Diceros bicornis minor: one gene and its partners. The protein of the gene in region 2 interacts with the protein of the main gene of each other region in a pairwise test. Links are inferred from orthologs where the notes say so. Each region holds a gene or a part of one and is shown on either strand. Other genes may lie near its edges.

What was found.
Region 1: the proteins of EXOSC10 (region 2) and EXOSC8 interact in binary tests that used the Homo sapiens proteins (3 or more experiments, as listed by UniProt). The link is inferred for Diceros bicornis minor from reciprocal best matches to the Homo sapiens genes EXOSC10 and EXOSC8.
Region 3: the proteins of EXOSC10 (region 2) and MPHOSPH6 interact in binary tests that used the Homo sapiens proteins (3 or more experiments, as listed by UniProt). The link is inferred for Diceros bicornis minor from reciprocal best matches to the Homo sapiens genes EXOSC10 and MPHOSPH6.

Annotation. Positions count from the first base shown.
Region 1 is NC_080748.1:19,385,124-19,392,135, reverse strand, and holds the start of EXOSC8 (exosome complex component RRP43), read right to left. Parts: upstream 3,034-7,012; 5' UTR 2,991-3,033; coding exon 2,974-2,990; intron 1,854-2,973; coding exon 1,817-1,853; intron 1,573-1,816; coding exon 1,509-1,572; intron 945-1,508; coding exon 871-944; intron 1-870. Other genes in the region: ALG5 (dolichyl-phosphate beta-glucosyltransferase), read left to right, coding at 4,212-4,277. UniProt on the Homo sapiens protein: Non-catalytic component of the RNA exosome complex which has 3'->5' exoribonuclease activity and participates in a multitude of cellular RNA processing and degradation events.
Region 2 is NC_080752.1:30,363,423-30,371,517, reverse strand, and holds the start of EXOSC10 (exosome component 10), read left to right. Parts: upstream 1-5,020; 5' UTR 5,021-5,071; coding exon 5,072-5,182; intron 5,183-6,920; coding exon 6,921-7,057; intron 7,058-8,095. Other genes in the region: serine/threonine-protein kinase mTOR, read left to right, coding at 457-472. UniProt on the Homo sapiens protein: Catalytic component of the RNA exosome complex which has 3'->5' exoribonuclease activity and participates in a multitude of cellular RNA processing and degradation events.
Region 3 is NC_080771.1:31,512,272-31,519,903, reverse strand, and holds the start of MPHOSPH6 (M-phase phosphoprotein 6), read left to right. Parts: upstream 1-4,572; 5' UTR 4,573-4,600; coding exon 4,601-4,651; intron 4,652-7,632. UniProt on the Homo sapiens protein: RNA-binding protein that associates with the RNA exosome complex. Involved in the 3'-processing of the 7S pre-RNA to the mature 5.8S rRNA and play a role in recruiting the RNA exosome complex to pre-rRNA; this function may include C1D.

The DNA of each region.
Region 1 (7,012 bases), on a different chromosome or scaffold from region 2:
TGGTTCAAATGTCAGACCCATATTTTTTGGCTGAGAGACTCTGGGTAGGTTATTTAATTTCTTACCATTCAACTTCCTCATCTGTAAAATGGGAAATTAACAGAGCCTACTTTTAGGGAATGTTAATGAGATCAAGTGAGATGTAAAGTCCCTAACAACCTGGCAAGGAGTAAGTGCTCAAATCTTATTATTAGGTAACACCTCAGCTTTATGGAGGGAGAATCTTAACTTAGGTTAAGTAAACTCACAGAGTGCAACATACTCAAAAAAGCAACAGGCTTTGGAGTCAGCTATATCTAAGTTCTATTTGTGAGACATGTTCCTGTACACATTACTGAACCTCTGTAAAACAGGAGACAAAGAGATAAATTATATCTCAAATGATTCTTCTGAGGATTAAACTGGATAAATCTGTAAAGCACCTAATACAAGGTGCCTGAAATACAGCAGATACCCAGTAAATAGCAGCTGTTGTCCCCTCAGTAAATAGTAGCTATTGTCCTCTCAGGCTTCTCTTTTGAACAATCTCGATTTTCTACACATTTGCACAGATTAAATGCCATCACGGGACAAAAGGATGTCACCAAAAATCTCTCAATTTCTCAGATGACAAATTTTCTAAAAATTAAAGGTGGTGAGGATTTTTTAAATGGTTTTATTTAGTATTTTGTGAATGTTCATAAATTAAGACTCATTAAACTTGGGTCATATTATCTAATACTCAAAGGTGAAAGCTCTTGGAAAATGAAAACAAATACTAAAAAACTGACACCTGACTGCTTAATCAACAATAGAATTATAGGTGTCTATAATAAGTATATGAAGCTAATTTGGTAACTTAAATCTCAGTAAGACATATATTAAACCTACCGCTTTAATTCCACAAATTACTGTAGTATTTCCCAGCTTCACTAAAGCAGAACCATCGGCAGTACTAATTGAACCTGAAAAGATAAGTATTTAAGCAAAATGAAGACCATAAGAAGTATTTTCGTTTTCTATGATTTTATCTTGCTACACATCTCAGTGGCTTATGAAAATTTATTCCTAGCCTGAGTCTTTTTAAAATGGTATAATTATTTAAAATTATTGTTTTAAGTATTATTCACCTGTCCTTGAATTTGTTAATCATTTTCATTCAGGCACAGGACTGTTATACAGATAAAAATCTCATGACACAAAATCATTGAAATCCCTTAAACATGGTAGAATTTGGCTGAAATACTGTTTAAGTGGCTGAGAGGCTACAACTTGGCAATGTCATACAGGTAAAACTAGAAAATTCAGTGTTTGCAACAGAGGATTTAATAAGTTTAAGACATATAAGAACACCCTGTGTTGGAGATTCTGAAGGAAGGAAGGGGAAAAATAGTTACTTTAAAATTTTAAATAACATATCAATTGAGAGAACAGTGAGTTTAAAGAAAAACTTTACAAACAAAAATTCTTTACTAGTATTAAAAATCAAAGCAACTTCAACATTCTATTAGAATTCAAAATATCCTCACCTATGTTGACAGTTGTGGTTCTGAATTCACCAAGTTCTCTTCCATCAGGACGGCAGTTCTCTTTCTAAATATATTTTTATGAAAGATTACATCTATATTTTACACACACCAAGGAAAACACATTAAACCTCGTTAACTCGAATTAATCTGAATTACTTGAAATTGTTTTTTTAAATTGAGGTATAATTAACATATATTAGTTTCACATGTACAACATGGTTCAACATTTGTATATATGAAAATTGTCTTTAAAAGAAGCATAAGGTATTATCAAAAGGCATAGCATGTACATAACCACCTTTACTCACCAAAAATCTCCTGTAATACTCCAGAGGTTCCACAGTTCTGAAACACGTGTTAAAAATATATCTGAGGTAAGTTAATGAATCTTAACATAAATCCAGAAATTGGCAGTGTGGTGATGCAGCATAAATTTCCACAATTTGTAACTAAGAGTCTTTCATGAATTCTGATGTTTGTGTTGCCACATGTAACTAATTATAAAAAGTAGATAGGCTTGCAGGAGCAATCACACTCGACTGCTGTCCTTAATTCTGCGTTAAACAATTACAGGATTGGAGCCCAAAGTTCTTGTGCATCTTTAAAAGAGGATTAATCCAGGTGTTAAAATAATGATGTCACTCTCGCTCTGAAGCAGGAATTCTTGGTGAACATGAAAAAGAGTTACATCTTTACTTTCACTATCTAAATTACACTGAAATTGAGCATATTCTTCAATTATGACTGTAGGCAATAAACCGTCATATTAGCAGTATTTGCGACTTTAAAAAAATCAGAGATTAAATGTTTTCGTTTTTACTTCATAATTGTCGAAGGTATGTTTAGACTCATTGTTACTTTGAAATTCCAAGAGTTAGTTACTAAACTCCCCACAGATTTTGTTGTTTAAGAAAATCAACTTTAAAACAAGTACCTAAAATACCTGAACTCGCAGTTTATACAGATAACTGTTTCAATATAATTGGTTTCCTTTGAAATCTTATTTCATCCATTTAAAAACTTGCCTCTGAGAACGAAAATCTATAGGCTTCGCCAGAGCGGCACAAAAAAGGTTTAAGTAAAACCTTCCGAACAAGGCATAACCCTTTTAGAGATAAATTACAGGAGAGGAAGAATACGATAGCGTGTGGTTCTGATGCAACACTTTTTAAAAGATTACAACTGTGCCTCCTGGCGCCGCACGTCCACCACACACCAAGCCACAAGCGCTCGCCCCAAGTACCGAACTCGAGGCACAGTCCCTTCCATCCTCCCTTTCGGGGAGAAGCCCCCTTTCCTTTCACTACGACCACCTCCGGTCCTGCCGCCTCTCGCCCGCTTCCGAGGGGGAAAGAAGTGGGAACCTAGTGGGATGCCCTCCAGGTGACAAAATCCCAGCTAAGGGTTAAAGGAAGCCGCGATGCACCAGCGCACAAACTCGCGCCCGCCGGCCACCGACACTCACTTGAACCCGGCCGCCATCTTCCCGCCCGCGTGCCTGCGCCGGCGCCGGCGCCGGGGCGACCCCGCGCTCCGCTCGCGCGCCTGCTCCGCCTCCACACTTTGGACACGGACGCCTGCGCCCTTCTCCCGCTGCAGAGACGCAGGAGGCTGGGGCGCCGCGAGGGGGCGCTCGCACTACGTTCGCTTCCACCGTCCGTAGCCGGACGCCTGTCTGGCTTTCCTTGCCTTAGAGGTGTTTTGGCGAATCTGCTGTTAGTGAAGTGACGAGCGGCTCTCTTTAGAAACAGTCTGGAAGTTCAAGAATTTAAGAGAAAACCGACTAACAGCCAAGAATCTAGTATTGAGTGTGGAGCATTATTCCAATGTTTCTCCGTCCTTTCCCCGCCTCCGGCTCAGACCGGGCCCTGGGCTTGTCTTCTCCCAGGTAAAGGGCTCCCTGCTCCAGCACCGGAGAAGCACGTTCTTTTTCTGTGCGCTCGTATCCGCGCCAGGTTACTCTTTGCAGGTCCCCGGAGCGGGTTCCAAAGGAGCAGCTTGTGTTGAAGGCTGTGTCGTGGCTTACGGCTTCCGCATCCCTCCTTGATAGGGTTGCCAGATAAAATACAGGATATCCAATTAAATTTGAATGTCAGATAAACAAAGTATTTTTTTCTTTTTACTATGAGTACGCCTGGAATAGTGCATGTTACTTTGTTGTTAACAAGGGCTGCGGGGAGCAGGGAAAGTTTTAGAAATAGAGTGGTGATGGCTGCAGGAAATTGTGAATGTAATTAGTACAACTGTATTGTACACTTAAAATGGTTAGAATTTTATATTTTATTTTATCACAGTTTTAAAAAATGTAGTATACCAACACCTTTTAAGTGGATGGGTTGTATGGTATGTGAGTTATATTTTAATAAGGCTGTTAAAAAACAATTAGTTGCTTATCTGAAATTCAAATTAAGTAGACATCCTATATTTTACTTGCTAATTCTGGCAACCCTACTAGGGAAACACAGTGCCTGCCTCTCCACCCTCTGAGCGCCTAGCAGACAAGAACTACTAGGTGTTCTTCGCCTTGCCGCGCGGGGGCGCTGTGGGCGGCGGCTGGTCCCGGTCGGGCCGCGCGGGGGCGCTGTGGGCGGCGGGCGCCCGGCCGGCGCGTCCTCTCTGCGGGCGGGAGGCGGGGCTGCCGGCCGCGCTTCCGCGTGTGTGTAGGTGCTGGATAGGGCGGGCGCGGCGGCCCGGGCATGGAGGATGGTTCCGCTTCTCCTGCAGCTGGCGGTGCTCGGCGCGGCGCTGCTGGCCGCAGCTCTAATACTGGTGAGGAGAGGGGTTGGGGACCGACGCGGGCCTGGGCTCACTGCTCTCCTGGAAACGCGGCCCCCAGGCGTCCTCGCCTCCGCACTGCCCGCTCCTCGTCGTGTCCCTTTTTACCTTGCTTCCCCCGAGCCTGGACCCCAGAATTTCCTCTCCTAGAATTTCACGCCCCCTTTCTTCCGCTCTTTATTTTTATTTTGGAGCTTTATCTCCCTTTGTGCTCAGAGCCTTGTACGCTTGTTCATTTTGGGACGTGCTCGCCCAGTCTTCACTTTCCCCTGGTACCCGGACCCACTGCCCACCCGCCCTGTGTGCCCCGACCTCTCCCGGACTTCTTCCCGGGTCTGCAGCCTCTGCAGGTCTGGCTCCGTCCGGGGAGGTCTTGAGCCCCCAGAAGGTGTGTGTGGTTCAGCAAATAGGAAGTGGTGACAGCACTGACAGCAGCCGTCTGTTACAGGTTGGAATCAGTCGTTGGATGGGGAGACCCCCTACGGACATAGGGAGACCAAAATAGATGAGGCCTGAGGTTACCATATGTCTGGAGGTCTTTATCTCCCAGAACTAAACACCCTAAATTTGCTGCTTCTAAATGAGGCAGTACAATGGAATTCAAACTCGAATTTTCTTTGCCATTACTCTGGAAACACGGAAATACATTGCTGTTCCATAAGTAATAGAAAATTTGCCAAGTGACCTTTCTCCCGTATAATTTGGAATGGGCCTGCCATCTAGTTAGTAAATGGAGAGGTTTCTGCTTCCTTGACATTCAGATTAACAGCCTAAATAACACTCTGCTGTCTTGCCGCAAATATTGTAAACTCACAGCTGGAAACAGTTTCGATAGAGAAAAAGCAGTGTATCTTGCCATCTTTCGTGATTTGTGTCTGAGTGAGAAAGAAGTCCTCTTTCCCTTAGTGGTATATAGAGGTTTCAGGGGTTTTGTGGGGCAGAGTTTGACAAAATCCTACATTGGATCTGCCTCATGTTGAATCTGTTGCACAAATCTAAATGTGTACATTATGAGGTTGTGCTGGAAGTATTTGATCCCACTAGCCTGAAGTGATTATGAGAGCTACCATTTATTGAGTCCTTACAATATGTTGGGTATTCAGTGTTTAACAGGGATTATCTCATTTGATGTTGGAAACAACACTGGCATAAATGTTATCATTAACTTCATTTGACTGGTGAGGAAACAATTTGGAGAGGTGAGCTCATATATGCAAATATCACATAGCTAGGGAAACTTCGTTTTTTAAAAATGCTAGAGCATTTAAATCATTCCCCCTTACCTAAAAAAAACCACAACTAATCTTCTATCTTATATATTCAACCTCCATACATGCTTCCCCCCCCACTTCCTTTGTGAATTATTTTGAAGTAAATCCAAGACATAACATTTTATCTGTAAATCCTCAGCATTTGTCTCTAAAGGTAGGACTCCCTCTTAAAAATAAAACCACAGGGGCCGGCCCGGTGGCGCAAGCGGTTAAGTGCGCGCGCTCCGCTGCGGCGGCCCGGGGTTCGCTGGTTCGGATCCCGGGCGCGCACCGACGCACTGCTTGGCAAGCCATGCTGTGGCGGCGTCCCATATAAAGTGGAGGAAGATGGGCACAGATGTTAGCCCAGGGCCATCTTCCTCAGCAAAAAAAACAGGAGGATTGGCGGATGTTAGCACAGGGCTGATCTCCTCACAAAAAAAAAAAAATAAATAAAACCACAAAAAGGTTGTCACAGATGTTTTTTTAAGTGTAGCCATTATTCAGTGATGTCAAGTATCCGGTCAGTTCAAATGCCTCCTGTGTGTCTTGGTACAGTCAGGCTGTTCCAGTCAGCATTCACACACATAGCACTTGAGCAACATGCCTCTAGTCTCTTAATCGATAACCTCTTCTCTTCTCTTTTTTTCCTTTTCCTTGTCTCCAACAAGTGGTCATTTGTCCTGTGTCATTTCTCACAATTTAAATTTCACTGATTGCATCCCCTTGGTGCCTTTTAACGTCTTACTCTGTCTCCTGAATTTCTTGTAAACTGGTAGTTACATGTAGCGACTTGATCAAATGTGTGTTTGAGTTTTTTAATCAAGAAAAGTGTGTGAGTGATGCTGAATACCTCCTCTTTTATCACATCAGGAGGCGTGTAATGTCTGATTTTCTCTGGTGTTAAGATGGACCCACAGGTTCAGGAGTTGTTAGCCTGACCCACCATTTATCAAGCTTGTTATTAACCTAATGGTTTTAGCAGTCATTGATGATCGTTACCTAAATCCATTATTTCACTGGGAGTTGCAAAGTGAAATATTCTAATTGTATCATTCCTTCGTGTATTACCTGGAATTCTCTAATGAAAAAAAATCTCATCCTTGGCTATTCAGTTACCCTGAAATACCTTTCATATATAAAAGGTAAGATAAAAAAGGCAAGTTTTCAAAATAATGAGATAGTTGCCTGGAATTTTACAAAAGTGACCAATTTTTTATTTTTAGTATCATTGTGAATCCATAATATAAAATATATTTCATATGTTTCAATCCATTGCAGTAATTATTCTTTTTGGTGCTCAAATCCTCCCATCATAGGCCAGTGGGAGCCCCTCACGTTGGCTACTTTGTCCTTTTGGCGTGGCCCTCACAGTCGTGGATACCTTCCTTGCTTTCTGGTCTAACTGTTCTTCCACTGTTGTACATTTCCTGCCCCAGACCTGAATCAGCCGTTCCTCTTAGAAGCACTGGTTGCTTT
Region 2 (8,095 bases):
TAAATTAAAATTACATTAAAATGGTTGAGAGTAGGTGAGGCCCCCTTATTTTGGGGGAGGGGGTCTTTTTGGATTTCTGCTGTCAATTCAGAGATGCTGGAAGGGCAAAGGAAAAGAAGCCAGAGCAGTGACAGAGAAAAGGAGATGAAAAGAAATTTATGATCTGGGATTGTAACCTCAAAGACCACTCTGGAGTCTGCTTTGATTAATTGCCCGAGGCATGCTTGAAGGTAGAAACTTGAGAGAGAGGGCGATAGGGACGTGTCGTTCTGGGACCAAGCAGGCGTCAGCCCTTGCCTGGCAATGATGAGTGTGTCCTACACAATTAGTTGTGGGAGATGTCAGGGAATGTCCCAGGGGTTGCCAGACCTTGGTCTTCCCATTTTCAGTGTAGCTGTGTAACGCTTTGAAGAAGCCCAAGTTATTAAAACATTCCTTTTCTCTCTGTCTTCTTAGGTGTCCTTTCTGGTAACTGGAGGCCCAGACTTGCCCACAGCGTTTCTCTTGAGGCTTTTGTACTTTGGTATATGCTTCCACTAAACTGAAACCTTGGTCAGAAAGTTCGACTTTATGTTAAATATTTTGAAATGTAAATGAAAAGAACTACTGTATATTAAAAGTTGGTTTGAACCAACTTTCTAGCTGCTGTTGAAGAATATATTATCAGAAACACAAGGCTTGATTTGGTTCCCAGGACAGTAAACACAGTAATACTACATAAATCAAGCCATTGATTTTGGGGAACAGAAGATCCATAACTTTAGAAATACGGGTTTTGACTTAACTCACCAGAGAACTCATCATAAGCATTTGCTGATAGAAGAATGGCCTAGTTGTTCCTCTCAACAAGGATACAGCCAACGCAGCACAGTCAAGAAGCCTCAGGTCATGGAAGACATGTATTAGGATTCTGGACTGTAAGGAAGTGAGAGAAGCCAACTTTGTCATTTTCACTTATCCCATTACCTCACTGGTCCATGGACAGCAACAACAACTTTTGCAAAATGGGCCAAAATGAGTGGAAAAGGTCTGTCTCCTGCCTCACCTTGATGCTGCGACTTACACACTTCAATCCAAGACCCGAACTGCTAGGAGAGGAGTTTCTTCAGATTGCTGGGCGGCTCAGCTGAGCAGGTGCACAGAGGAGATCGTGGCGCAGTAGGGTGGCCCACAATGGCCTTCCCCAGCACGATTCTGGGTGTTTTCAGTGAGGTCTGATGCTCTATGTTTAGAGCAAGGGCTTGGAAAACAGAAATGCTGTCATGGAGGTGCTGAACACAAGAGAGGCCAGGTCTAGTACATGTTGGGAATTACGAGCAAAAGAAATATTAAACTAAATGCACAAAGTATAAAGTGTAGCCATGTCTAGACACCATGTTGTATCTGAATAATTTTTGTGCCAATAAATGACATCAGAATTTTAAAAACATGTATATGAGTGGCTTTTTATTCATGATCATTAGTTCATAAAGGAAGCAGTTATTCCTTCAACATTCATTAAGCACTTAGTACTAGCAACTACACAGGATGTGGGATCTACACGACGTGGTCCCTCTCCTCGCGGTGTTCACAGGCCAGACAAGGCAGAGGCGGCGTCACCTAGGAGCGGACTGACAACTCCACCAACCTAAGCGGTGAGAAGAGCCACGTCCAGAGGGTGAGCGTAAGAGGGGGCACTAACTCACTGGGCGAGCCAGGAAAGCCTGGGGGAAAGGGGGACATTTGCCACGGGTCTTAAAGGAGGAGTGGGAGTTTGTCAGATGAAGCAGATGAGGACATTCCTGGCAGAATCGAGAGATAAAAGCACAATATCGTGCAGCAATGGCAAGTAGTAACTTGAACAAGATTAGATTGCAGGTATTCAGCCACTGTTGATACATAAAATGGCAGTTTCTCACAGCTGGACCTCAGAGTTCAGCATATCTGGCTCAGTGGTCAGTACGGAATAAAAGGAGTAATAGGAACTAAAAGGAGGCTACAAAGCAGAGTGAGGCCAGACTGGCCTTGCCTCAAACGGCAAGGAGTTTGAACGTGATGCTGTGGACGACAGGGAACCATGTGAAGTTTTAAAACAGAAGTAGAATCTGAGTCGTGTTTTTAAGAGCCACCTGGTGTCAAACAAGTGGAAAGAAAATGAGAAGCCACAAGATCTAGTCAAGAGGCTGTTGCAATAATGGAGAGGAGAGAACATTGAATGGAGCTGGCCAGTACTATGTTTGGGTTCCTCTAAAGAAAGAGCACACCTGGGGGCCTGACCACGGCGTAGCGGTTAAGTGCGCGCGCTCCTCTGCTGGCGGCCCGGGTTCGGGTCCCGGGTGTGCACTGACGCACCGCTTGTCAGGCCATGCTGTGGCAGCGTCCCACATAAAGTGGAGGAAGATGGGCACGGATGTTAGCCCAGGGCCAGTCTTCCTCAGCAAAAAAAAAAAAACGAGGACTGGCATGGATGTTAGCTCAGGGCTGATCTTCCTCACAAAAAAAAAAGAAAGCATGCCTAAAGAGAAGTTCTTCCAAAGAAGATCGTTTTTAGTTGTTCAAGTAAATTTTTTTTTCTAAATTCCTATGGGCCACAGCTACCCAGTGAGAAATACTGTATCATTATAAAAGCTATTCAAAGAACTTGTGTTAGGGGAGCATGAGAATTACAAGGCCAGGAGGCATATCGTATGTGACTTTGTATCCCCAAAATCTGCCAGAAGACCTAGCCCACAGTGGTATTCCATATAGGTTTGTTTGAGGACTCTTCTATTAAAAACAAAGATGGATTTTTTGGATTTTTAGTGATACTAATAACAGTTTTAACCTTCACAGCTAGAAAATCTCATACCTATCTTAAATTTTCCATGAACAATCTTGTTGTTGTTGTGAGGAAGATCAGCCCTGAGCTAACATCCATGCTAATCCTCCTCTTTTTGCTGAGGAAGACCGGCTCTGAGCTAACATCTATTGCCAATCCTTCTCCTTTTTTTTCCCCCCAATGCCCCAGTAGACAGCTGTATGTCATAGCTGCACATCCTTCCAGTTGCTATATGTGGGCCGCAGCCTCAGCATGGCAGGAGAAGCGGTGCATCGGTGCACGCCCGGGATCCGAACCTGGGCCGCCAGTAGTGGAGCACGTGCACTTAACCACTAAGCCACCCGGCCAGCCCTCCATGAACAATCTTAAACCATGTATCAACTTTTGTGACAGAAAATGTGATCACCATAACTTTCTTGGTTCTACCTGAAATAATTATCAATGACTACAGTGATCTTACCATTCATGAAAGATAAAGGGCATAGGAATGAATGGACTCAGGGAAATTGTGGCAATCAGTGGTAAAGACATACCTCAGGACAGGAGAGTCATTGGGATTAAGATCTTTGGTGATGGGCGGGCCCAGTGGCTTAATGGTTAAGTTCGCCAGCTCCGCTACTGGAGGCCCGGGTTCGGATCTCAGGCGCACACCGACACACTGCTTCTCCGCCCATGCTGAGGCTGTGTCCCACATACAGCAACTAGAAGGATGTGCAACTATGACATACAGCTATCTACTGGGGCTTCGGGGAAGGAAAAAAGGAGGAGGATTGGCAATAGATGTTAGCTCAGAGCTGGTCTTCTTCAGCAAAAAGAGGAGGATTAGCACGGATGTTAGCTCAGGGCTGATCTCCCTCCCCAAAAAAAAAAAAAAAAAAAAGATCTTTGGTGAATCCAATGGGTTTTAAGTTACATCTAAGCAAATCCTTTGTTGAGATGAATTACCAGGGGCAAGTGAGGAAATAATCAAGGCATTTGAAGACAGTCTAATTACCCTATCAATCCAGATTGTTTCACACAACTGCTTTGTGAAGGGAGGGATGTGGCAAAGAATGACTTTGGGGGTCCTTACATTCACAGGGTGCCATAGGCTGGGCCTTAAAACTCTGGGAGGCATGTAAAGTGGTTTGTAAGAGTCAAGGCTGTAGTGTCAGATTGCGTAGTTTCAAATCTCAGCCCCACATCATACTCCCTGTGTGACTTTGGCCAAGTTACTTAACCTCTCTATGCCTGTTTCCTCCTCTGAAAGTGTGCATAATGGTGTGATCTACCACATAAAGGTTGTTTTGAGGATGAGATAATAACCATGGAAAGCACTCAGCACAGCCTCACATGTGATATTACGTTGAACTATATGAAATAAGTGCTCAAAAGTATTAGTTGTTAAAAGGAACAAGGCTAGGCCTTTGTTCTGCCAGGGCACCTGTGTACCTGAGGTACACAAATTGGGGGGGAAATGAAAAGTATCCTGCTAAAAGAATACTCCGAATAACGATGACAGGTAACATTTGTTGAACACTTACTAAGTCAAACGACTTGTATTAAGGATGTGCTACCCCGATCTTAGGAGAGAAGATACGCCCTGCTGAGCTTCCCAAAACCCATCCCCTGAGCTGCGTGATAATACAGTGCCTCCTTCATAACTATGCTCTTCCAGGCATTCATTTAACAAATGTTTGAGTTCCCACTATGCCTTACCAAGAGTGGCTCCAGCGGTGTAGATGGGGAGGAACGTCTGACTGCAGGAGTTCGAGAGCACTGGAGGTGACTAAGTACAGGGGGAGCAGGCAGACGTCTTTTCGAGTTCACCTGTAAGAGGCAGGAGAAATGCGCCGGTGGCTGGAAGGAGGCGTGGGGTCGTGTTGTTTTTGTTTTGTCTTTTTACTTGGGAGAGATACCGTCACATGTGTAGGCTGTTAGGAATGAACCTGTATCCAGGGGAAAGATAGGTGATGCCAGAGAGAGGAGATAATTGCAGGAGCCACGATCAAGTTGGGAGGGGGAGGCACGGAACCAGAGCTTGGGAGGAGCTGACTTTAAATATGAGAATAACTGGGTCCTCCGGGTCCCACCCTAAATCACAGATTGTTGGGACGATACAATCAGGTTAAACAAAAGATGCAAAGCCCCCCCGGTGGGGCGCTCAAGCCTGAAACCTCAACGCACGTTGCCCGCAGCTCGTCCCCCGCGACGACAGCCTTTGCACATGCGTGGTGCGCGCATGTCGCGTCGGCCCGAGGCACTCTCGCGAGAAGAGCCGTGCAGGCCGGGAAAATGGCGCTTCCCAGTCCCGGAGATCCCAAAGCCCCGTCGACAACAAGCGCGGCCAAGTCCGACGGAGAGATGGTGCTGCCGGGCTTCCCGGACGCAGACAGCTTCGTGAAGGTGAGCTCGCGGGGCCTTGGGGGCACCGGGAGCCGCCCGCGGCCGGCCGGAAGCAGGCCCGGGCCCTCTCTGCGGCCGCACTCCCGGCCGTGCGCGAGCCGCAGCAGAGCCCGGGCGGGGGGCGAAGGGCCGTTACCCGCGCCGGGCACAGTCTCTCCCTTCACCCCCGGGGATGGGGCCTCGCACGCGGACGCTGAGGGACGCTCTGCTTCCCAGGGCCCTCGTTCTCTCCTTGGAGCGCATGCAGCTCTGAGTGTGGAGCGCCGTCTCCGCGTCGTGGGAAGGGCCTCCTTGTCACCCTGATGTCCCCAGCCCCCCCCCCCAGGCCTGAGCCACCCATCCAACTCTCCGGAGGGACTCCGCAGCTTTAGGCTTCCCACAGCTGCCGGCGTCCTCCCCTCGCGCCTCTGGGATGGCCCTTCTTCCCTCTCCGGAGGTCCAGTCCTACATAATCCCCAACCCTGGGTTTAATGTCCCCGTGAGAGCTGTCACCGAGTCAGCCTCCTCTAAGTGCGTTAGCACATTTATCAATGCCTTCTTGAAGGAACACAGGGTTCAGTTAAATTATTTGTGTATTGATGTTTAAATATGAACAAACATAAAACTAGGTTTAAACGCCTCATGCAAAGCTGTTACGAAGCCATGAAGCTAAAATAACTTGTAAGTTAGCACTACAAGTTCCAAAAACTCCACTCACGTTATATCTAATAAGCAGATGCTATTGTTAATTCATTTATTTGGCTCTGAGTTGTTCCTGGACCACTAGCCGTGGTCCTGATTAGGTGGCCTTTGTGCTCACAAGCCACCATATACTCACGTGACTCAAGTTCCCACCTCCTTTCTCTCATTTTTTTTTGGAAAATGTTTATTACGCAACTCACAATGATGTCATTTGGCCTTCACCTGACCAACCATCATTTATCTATGACAGTCACTTCAGGTTTTTTCTCATGACCACACAATTAAAATAGACAACTACTTGGGGCCGGCCCGGTGGTACAAGCGGTTAAGTGCACGCGCTCCGCTGCGGCGGCCCAGGGTTCGCCGGTTCGGATCCCGGTTGCGCACCAACACACCGCTTGTCAAGCCACGCTGGGGTGGCGGCCCATATAAAGTGGAGGAAGATGGGCACAGATGTTAGCCCAGGGCCAGTCTTCCTCAGCAAAAAAAGAGGAGGATTGGCAGGTGTTAGCACAGGGCTGATCTCCTCACACACACAAAAAAAAATTATTCTGAAAAAAAAAAAGAAAACGTAGACAACTACCTGGCACTAACTGGACCATAAACACAAGTCCAGTTGTGGGCAGTAGCCATTATAAATTGGTCATCCGAAGGACCTAGAATATTCTTATATTGTTTTTAGATGCTCTTCCCAAATGAAAACACAAAAATAATTTTCTGTAGAAAGCTCATGGACCTGAATTTGAGTAGTAGTAATAATAATGGCGCTTATGTGCCAGGCGCTAGCCTAAGTGATGTATGTAGTTGTTCTTTCTCTCCCCACTCTCCCAAGAATATAAGCTCCAAAACTTGGTTTCGTGTTCACCATTGTTTCCTTAGGACCTAGGGTAAAATCAGCACTAAATGAATATTTTTTGGATGTGTAAAGATAGGATATCTTCATCATCTAGCACAATGCATTATATGTAATGCACATATATAGATCTTGAAAAAAAGTTGCTGAATGAATGGGGACTCCTGTTTAAATAAACATGCTTGTTTTTGTGGTTTTTGACAGTTTGCTCTTGGGTCAGTGGTGGCAGTCACCAAGGCATCTGGGGGCCTACCACAGTTTGGCGATGAGTATGACTTTTACCGAAGTTTTCCTGGCTTCCAGGCATTTTGTGAAACACAGGGAGACAGGTTGCTTCAGTGGTAAGTACTACATATTGTTTTCTTGTGTTGAAAGAACTGAATATAAAGAAGTAGATAATTTTTCCTAAAATTTGTTTTTTCTTTCCATAATTTTCTATACTATAAAGAGCTCTGAAATGTAAAAATGAGACAATGGATTTTTTTTTTTTTTTTTGGTGAGGAGATCAGCCCTGAGCTAACATCCGCCAATCCTCCTCTTTTTTTTGCTGAGGAAGACGGCCCTGGGCTAACATCCGTGCCCATCTTCCTCCACTTTATATGGGACGCCGCCACAGCATGGCTTACCAAGCAGTGCGTTGGTGCGCGCCCGGGATCCGAACCAGCGAACCCCGGGCCGCCGCAGCGGAGCGCGCGCACTTAACCGCTTGCGCCACCGGGCCGGCCCCGAGACAATGGATTTTGATTAGGGAAGCGTTACTTGGTAACTTTTGAGTTTAACCTTTAAAAAATGTATTGACTTTTGGGCCAGCCCAGTGGCCAACAGTTAAGTGCACGCGCTCTACTGCAGCAGCCCTTGGTTCAGATCCCAGTCGCACACCAATGCACTGCTTGTCAAGCCATGCTGTGGTGGCGTCCCATATAAAGTAGAAGAAGATGGGCACGGATGTTAGTCCAGGGCCAGTCTTCCTCAGCAAAAAGAGGAGGATTGGCATCGGATGTTAGCTCAGGGCTGATCTTCCTCACACACACACACACACAAAAATGTATTGACTTTGGATGCCGGCCACATGATGCAGTGGTTAAGTTCAGCGTCCTCTGCTTCGGGATCCGGGCACAGACCTACACCGCTCCTCAGCCATGCTGAGGCGGCACCCCCCACACAGAATAGAGGAAGATTGGCACAGATGTTAGCTCAGGGCTAGTCTTCCTCAAGCAAAAAAAAAAAGAAAATGTATTGACTTTTGCATCTATGGACAGTGAATCTTTTTGAATTAACATGGGACTTGAAAACCTAGATCCAAGATTCTCTAACACAACTTGCAGAGTCACAAGTATTAGCTTTCTAATAAGTGTATTAGGACAGACAATACACAAACA
Region 3 (7,632 bases), on a different chromosome or scaffold from region 2:
AGCGCCTCAAATCCAGATTAGGTTCCCTGTCACAACTCCTATCTCTATGACACCACTGAGCACCTGTATCCTTGTCTGTGGCATACTCTCAGGTAGTTCCCCCAGCACCTACCAAAGGGCCAGGAACATAAGAGATGCTCAAAAATATTGGTTAAAGAATGAAAAAGGCAGGGGGCAGAAAAAATAGGAGACTTTGGCTGTCACAGTCATAAAGTAATAAGATTTAGCCATTAAATTCAGGGATGGTCTCATGACAATGGAAAGAAAGGAAAGAATGGGGGCACAATAAAAAAGAAAGCCAAATGGAGAGTTCACAAACCTGAATTCTGAGTTGATGCAATTTGGTACATATAATTAGGAGACTCATCTAGCTCAGTAGTTTCCAAATCCTGGCTGATCATCACAATCATCCAATAATTAGGAATGACTTTTGTTTTTGACGTGTTTTAAATTTCCCCTGGTCATTCTGTCATAACCACTGACTGATGTCTAGGAATTACTTACCTGGATGCCCCATAAGGTCACTTCCAGCACCAAGTTCTAATTTAACCAAGATAACCACGAACAAGTAATAGATAGGACTTAGTAAGTAACTGAATGTAAGAGCAGAAGGGATGTATTACACTACTTAGATTTTTAGACTGGTTGTCCTACAGTCACAATTTGCACGTAACAGGCAGCCAATAAATACTTCCTCACCAAATCAAACAGGGAAGCAGGAAGAGGGAGCACATTCTGTGAGAAGGGATAGATTTCATGTTGGATGTGCATTTTCCAGCTGACACTACCAATTATTTGTCCTTTGGGACTGTGTCAACAGAACTCTCTTCCTTCCTGCCTTAAATAGATATTTGTCCTTGACATTGCTGTTTTGGCTATTACAATGATTACCTCTTCTTTGTTACAGCACCCAAGTTCTCTTTAAAGAATTACCCTCCCCGCTTCTGCATAGTCCTACAGGGACTATAGAACAGGTCTTGCTCTCTCTTAGCTAACTCAATGAGACTCTCTCCTAGACTTTGAAAACTTGAGTAGCGTCCTAAAAGCAGAGAAATCAGTTGGTGTTCATCATTCTTGCAGTGGCACTAAGTTAATTCCTGCTTCCTAGATCCCTGGGCTGCCCTGGATTTTGTCCTTTTAACTTGGCCTTGTTCTCAGGCTTTGTTACTACTTCTATGAACTATCTAGTATCCTTCTAATAAATCCCCATTTAATAACCCATTATCAATTTCTGGTACTTGCAAAACAAACAAAAGAACAAAAGCTACTAAATAAAGAGGAGGAAATGCAAGCCATAAGTGTAATCTTAAATTTTCTAGCAGCCTCATTAAAAAAAAAGATGAAATCAATTTTAATGCTAGGTTTTATTTAAACCAATACATTCAAACTATTATTATTTCAACATGTAATCAATATGAAAAAATATTGAGACATTTTACTCTTTTTTCATTTCAGGTCTTTGAAATGTGGTACTTATTTTAAACTTAGCCCATCTCAACTCAGATGCTAAATTTTCAAAGGTTAAAGTCAAATGCAGTCTTTCCAAAGCAATAAAATATATATAATGGGAAAATATTTTACACTTCTAGTTTTTAAGTTTAAAATTAAATATTCAGTTCCTCAGCCACATTAACCACATTTCAAGTGCTCAGCAGACACATATGTCTAGGCTTCCTGTACTGGGCTGCACAGCCTTAGATACGGTCGGCTACAAGAGTGAAGAGACTCAGGGGACCTTTTCTTGATGGATACAGTAACTGGAAGGAATTGGAAGTTTTCACACTTCTAAGAAATTCTATTAGGAAAGGATTCAAAATCGATTGTATGTGTGAAGACCTACAGAAATCTCTCTTCCTTAAAAACAATGTTTCCTTGGCTGTGTAACTAAAACAGGTTAATACACTGAGTGAGAGACTTATCTTCTGTGTTCTACAACTTAGTAGCATAGAGAGATCAAGGAGTTATCTTCCCTGACAGGGAGTTTAATTCAAAGTTAAAATTACACTATTACTCTTAAATCACTTCTCATTTATTACATTTTGATGGGTTGGAAGAGACTATAGGGATTAGTTTTAATTAAAAGTATTTTCATTGTCAAAGAAAAATGTAGGAGTGGCAGGTTGAAGAATTTGACCTTTACTCCTCAGACAATAAGTTATTGTAAATTTTGAAGTAGGAAAGTGACATGATGAAGCCTATGTTTCAAGAAAATGAATCAGAATCCAGTGTGCAAGTAGACTGGTACAACAGAAGGCCATAGGAAAGGCGTGGAACTTCTAGCAGCTTAGGACGCTCTTATTTCTGCCAGGAATTGTTTTCCTCTTAAGCTGACAAGATACATGCTCATCCTTCAAGATGTCAGCTGTTTCCTAGCTGCAGATGGTAGACTGGGTCACTTCTTCACCTCTGCTTCCACAGAACTTCTTTCCAAATCCTGAACACAAGTCAAATTCACAGAGGCAGAAAGTAGAATAGTGGTTGCCGGGGGTGGAGGGAACGGGGAGTTACTGTTTAATGCGTAGAGTTTGTTTTGGAAAGTCAAAAGTGTTGTGTGGATGTATGGGAGTGTTGGTAGCATAAAACTGAATGATTGGAAGGCCTTTCCCCAAGCTAAATCCTCCCTTTTCAGATCTCCACTTAAATGTCACAGCTTTAAGAGTCCTTTCCTTTTCCAAGCCAGAATGGTTTAGGTTCCTTTGCTATATACTCTCACAAACCCCTTAGTTTTCTTATAGGGCTCTTATTACAACTGTAATCTATAGCTAATTATGTGTATTAGTTTGCTAGGGCTGCCATAACAAAATTGTATAGACTGGGAGGCTTAAACAACAAAACTTTATTTTCTCAGTTCTGGAGGCTAGAAACTCAAGATACAAGCGTAGGCAGGTCTGGTTTCTGAGGCCTCTCCTTGGCTTTCAAATGGCCACCTCCTCGCTGTGTCTTCACATGGCCTTTCCTCTGTGTATGTGCATGCCTGGTGTCTCCCTACGAAACCAAACTTCCTCTTCTACTAAGGACACCAGTCAGACTGGATTAGGACCTACCCTAAGTGCCTCGTTTTAACCTAATCCCTCTTTAAAGGCCCTATTTCCAAACACAGTCCATTCTGAGCCAAAATTCTTATGAATTTTGGAGGGACACAATTCAATTCATAACATGTGATTACCTCTATTGTTCCCTTGTCTTGCTCTCCTTTTGGGACCTTTACAGACACTAGTCTCTCCTCTTAGAACACTCTACCTCCAACTCTTCATACAACAGGTTTTTCTCAACTTTCAACCTTAACACCGCCCTCTGACAAGAGCCATCCTGGATCACCTTACCTAAAGTAACCCTACAGGTCGCTCTACCACATCATCGTCTTTCTTCCACGGCATCCACAAGAATGCCAGCTCCAGGAAAGGGAGGGCATGTGTTTTTACACACTATGGCTGCCCAGAGCCTGGCCCAGTCTACCCGTAGTCATGAACGAACTTCCATAACCGCTTACCACACTGCAATGCCTTTATCCACTCCACTGAGAAAACCTGCCAGGGCAGGGCCACGTTTTTATCATGTTTCTTGAATCTCAGCTCTAACACTTACTAGCTGTGTGAACTCGGGTAAGGCCCTTAACCCCTCCAGGCCTGGGGTTCCCTAACTATAGGATGACAACAATATCTTCTTCAGCGTTCTTACGAGGACTAGATAACACACGTAAGGTAGCCAGCAAAAGAACGTGGCACATGGTGCAGGCTCTCAGCTGAAATGCTATCAGGTTGGGTGTCGTCCGAAGTGCAGCACCTGTGAAGGGTGTGAGCAACGTCCCGAGGTGGTACACAGGGCACTGAGCTATCATCTCAGCTCTTCAGATTCAAAGAAGGTCGTCCTCGCCACCTCACGGCGTTGACTATCTCTTGCTATTCCCCTATTCAACACAAACATCGTTTAGGTTCAAAGACGCACACAGCCGTGAACAGCCGACTTGACCACGGTTTCCGTGGTATTTCCAGAGCCAGACTGCCTGGGTTTAGACCCACCTCCCTCACTCTCCTTCGGGCTCGTTAAGGAACCTCCCTATACCCCAGTTTACTCAACTGCAACATGGGGACAACGCCAGTGCCCCCCACGGGGTTACGGCGAGTATGAACTATTACACGACGCAGAACACTGGAATCCTGCCATCCATGCTAGAAAAGTGGGAGAAACAGTCCCTGCGGCGTGGTGTGGCAACCGTCTCGAGGGTCTCACAGGACGACTGAGGCATCGACGCGGCAGGACCGGGGGCACGGGGGCTGGGGGCCCGGCAAAAGCCCTCGGGGAAGGCGGCCAACAGGTCGGAGCGGCCGGGCCTCCTCCGACTGCGGCCTCTTTGACGTCTCCCTCCCGGGGTTAAGTCGCTCTTCCCTCCACTTCGACGGCCGGGCCTCACCCCGAGCTTTCCCCTCAGGCGAGCGCTTCCTGAGGCGACGCGCGAAACACCCGGGACGCTCTCGAGCGCGAAAAACGTGGGCGCAGCCACGGTGCGGGATGACGCACGCTACGTAAGGCGGTGCCGCTGCGCACGCAGCACCGCGCATGCGCGGCGGGGATAGTGGCGGAGCGCCGGGTGGGAGCCAGCATGGCGGCCGAGCGCAAGACTAAGTTGTCTAAGAACTTGCTGCGCATGAAGGTGCGGGGACGTGGAGGAGGCGGGCCGGGCGGCAGGGGTACCTGGTCTCCCCGACCCGGCCGGGGCTGAGGCGGCGAGCGCATGGGGGCACCAGAGAGGCCCCGGAGCCCTCCAGCTGTGGCGTTCCGTCATTCATTCAGCGCCTGCTCTGCGTTAGGCATTAGGAACCGGATTATAAATCCGGCGGGTTCTCGCACAAAGCCCGCGGTCGGATAGGAGAGACAGACACGTGAGCAAGCAGTTAGGATACAGTGTAGTTAGTGCAGCGCCGCGAGCCCCGGAACTTCCTTGGGCTTCTGCGCGGAGCGGCCCTCAGGTAGAGACTGAAGGGGGAGAGGGGGTGCACAGCGACGTAAACCGAGGGAAAAGCGAGTTCAGAAGTCTGAGAGGCAAAACCCAAAAAATCCGTTGAGATTTCCAAGAACTAAAATAATTCAGTGTGTCTGGAAGGCAAGTAGCAGGAAATGGGCCTGGGAAGGTAGCCAGTGGTTACAACTATGTAAGGAATTTGGGGCCAGATTAGGGATTCTTTTATCTTGTGAACATTGGGAAGCTATTGAACAGTATCGTTAGCTGTGCTTCTTTTCAAGGTTGCTTAACTGTCCGGTGGAGGATAGATTGGTGAAGGCACAAAATTGCTGTCAGAAAGATCAGCTAGAGGTTCTGATGATCTGAGTGAGGGTTACAGTGGTGATGGGAACGGGGAGAATTATAGCAGTTGAGGTGAAAGCGAGTTATGTCACCCAACTTTAAGCAAAATTGATTTTTAGATTTGAAATTAAGTCAGTTTAACCAAATAATTTCAAAGGGGGAAAAAAAGACAAGCGTGGATAAAATGAATACAGGAATTAAAACAGAGGAAGCAACCAAACCTTGAAACTTAATAGCAAACATTTATAGTTTTTGCTGTGTGCCAGGCACTGTTCTAAGTGCTTTGCATATATTAACCCATGAAATCCACATAATATCCCTTTGAAGTGGGCACAGTGGTACAGCTGAGGCAACTGAAACAGAAACGTAAGTAACTTGCCCAAAGTTGCACAGCTAGTAAGTAGAGTAGACAGGACTCAGACTCAGGCAGTCTGGCTCCAAAGCCCCTGCTCCTAATTACCACTCTATACTGCTTGTCGCTGAACACAGTACTTACAGATGCAGACTGTTAGATGTCACGTGTAGAGAGTTGTGGAATTTCCAGGAAAAAGAAGCATAAGTAATATTTCGGGTGTAACTAGTGATGAATAGGGCAAGTGAGGGTGGGGGTAAATCGTGGCATAATTTATAGTTTCTAAAGTACTTCTTTGATGCGTATTAGCAAAATTTGAATCTTTACTGAACAGAGTTTTCTTTTGGCTTATGGTTTATAATCATGTAGATTTCAGAGACGTAGAATGGATTGACAAAGCAGGCATTGAAAAGATTTTAGAAGTTGTTTTAGCTCTTGGAATAAGTCAGATGAAGATGTGCTGGGTGATTAGGGCTCAGACCAAAAATCTGACTCTGGAGTTAGGAAGGAAGAAGTTAACTTAAAAAAAATTATCCACCCCTACCCGAGTGGTTGAGGGAGACTCAACTGGATATTGGAAGCAAAGGAGAGGAAAAAAAATTACCCAGGTTCTCTAGTTGGGTTAGCAACTTCAGTTATTGAAAAGGAAGAACTTATTGGCAGGATAACAGGAGACACTATGTATACAGATAGAGTGGAGTGTCCTTTGAGAAGGAAAGGAGCAAGCTGCATTAGGTTGCCCATATCCAGTGTAGCTGTTAGAGCTAAGTATAGAGCAAGAATGAGAGGGTTGAGGATTTAATACTGACTCCTTTGTTTTCAGGTGTGCTTGAAGTCATCTGACCTGGTCAGCTACTGGGGGCTGGTGGGTGATCCTGATGGGCAGTGGAAAGTGAAGGATGTATGGGAGGTCTGTCAGTGTGATGGAATGGTTGTAGAGAGGGCTCTTATTTGTGATTTTTAGCTCTTTCGGACTCTTAAGACAGGAGTTGGTGAACTTTTTTTGTAAAAGGATAGATAATAAATAAATTAGGCTTGTGGGCCAAAAAGTCATTGTTGCAACTACTCAGCTCTGCCATTGTGATGCAGAACTGAATGAGGTGGCTTTGTTCCAGTAAAACTTTATTTATAACAACATTTATTTATAACAACAGCCTAGGGACTATAGTTTGCGATAACTGCTCTAGTCCCTCAGCTGTGAATAAAGCTAAATCACTCACTTTGGAGTGTGTTCTTAGATGCTGTAGAGTCAGGAGAATTGTATTGCTACCTAAGTCGAGTTCCTTGATTCATATTCACATATACACATATTCCATGTGTACAGCTATTATATATATACAGCTATTTTGTATGCCATAATAATATCTCCTTGACTAAAAATAGAAGATAAAAGGGCATTTGGGCAGGATTGGTGAATTTTACCAATAAAACTATAAGTGATGAAATGAGGCATCTGGGTATAAAGAGAACCGTCCAAGAAAGGGAATCTGGAAAAATAAGACAAGTCTAGACTCACTTACGTTCAGAGAACCTTTACTGAACTCTTTTTGGGTACCAGGTGCAGCCTGAGTACCGGTAATACAAGATGAAGAAGAGACATGGTATGCTCTTCAGAATTTCAGTCTTGGGAGACACAGAAGAAGCATAATGAACAAAAGCCAGTGTTTATAAGGCTGTCTTAGAAATGGGAAAAGGTATTCTTTTACAGGAACATGCCTGGAAAGAGCTTGGCCAAACAACAGTCAGTGGAGGCCCAAAGGCCGTGTGCTCTGGACCTTCGCAAGTGCATATTTTGCCAGGCAGAGAATGGAAGCATGATGTTGAGTAGCAGGGGCAAAAGGACTGGGAGGTACAGGGGATGCATTCCAGAAACTGCCAATTCTTTCCTGTGGTGAGGGTATAGACACAGAGGCAAAAGGATGAGGACCACAAAACACTTCAGATAGGATTGCAGACATTTCTTTTATGTTTATTTAAG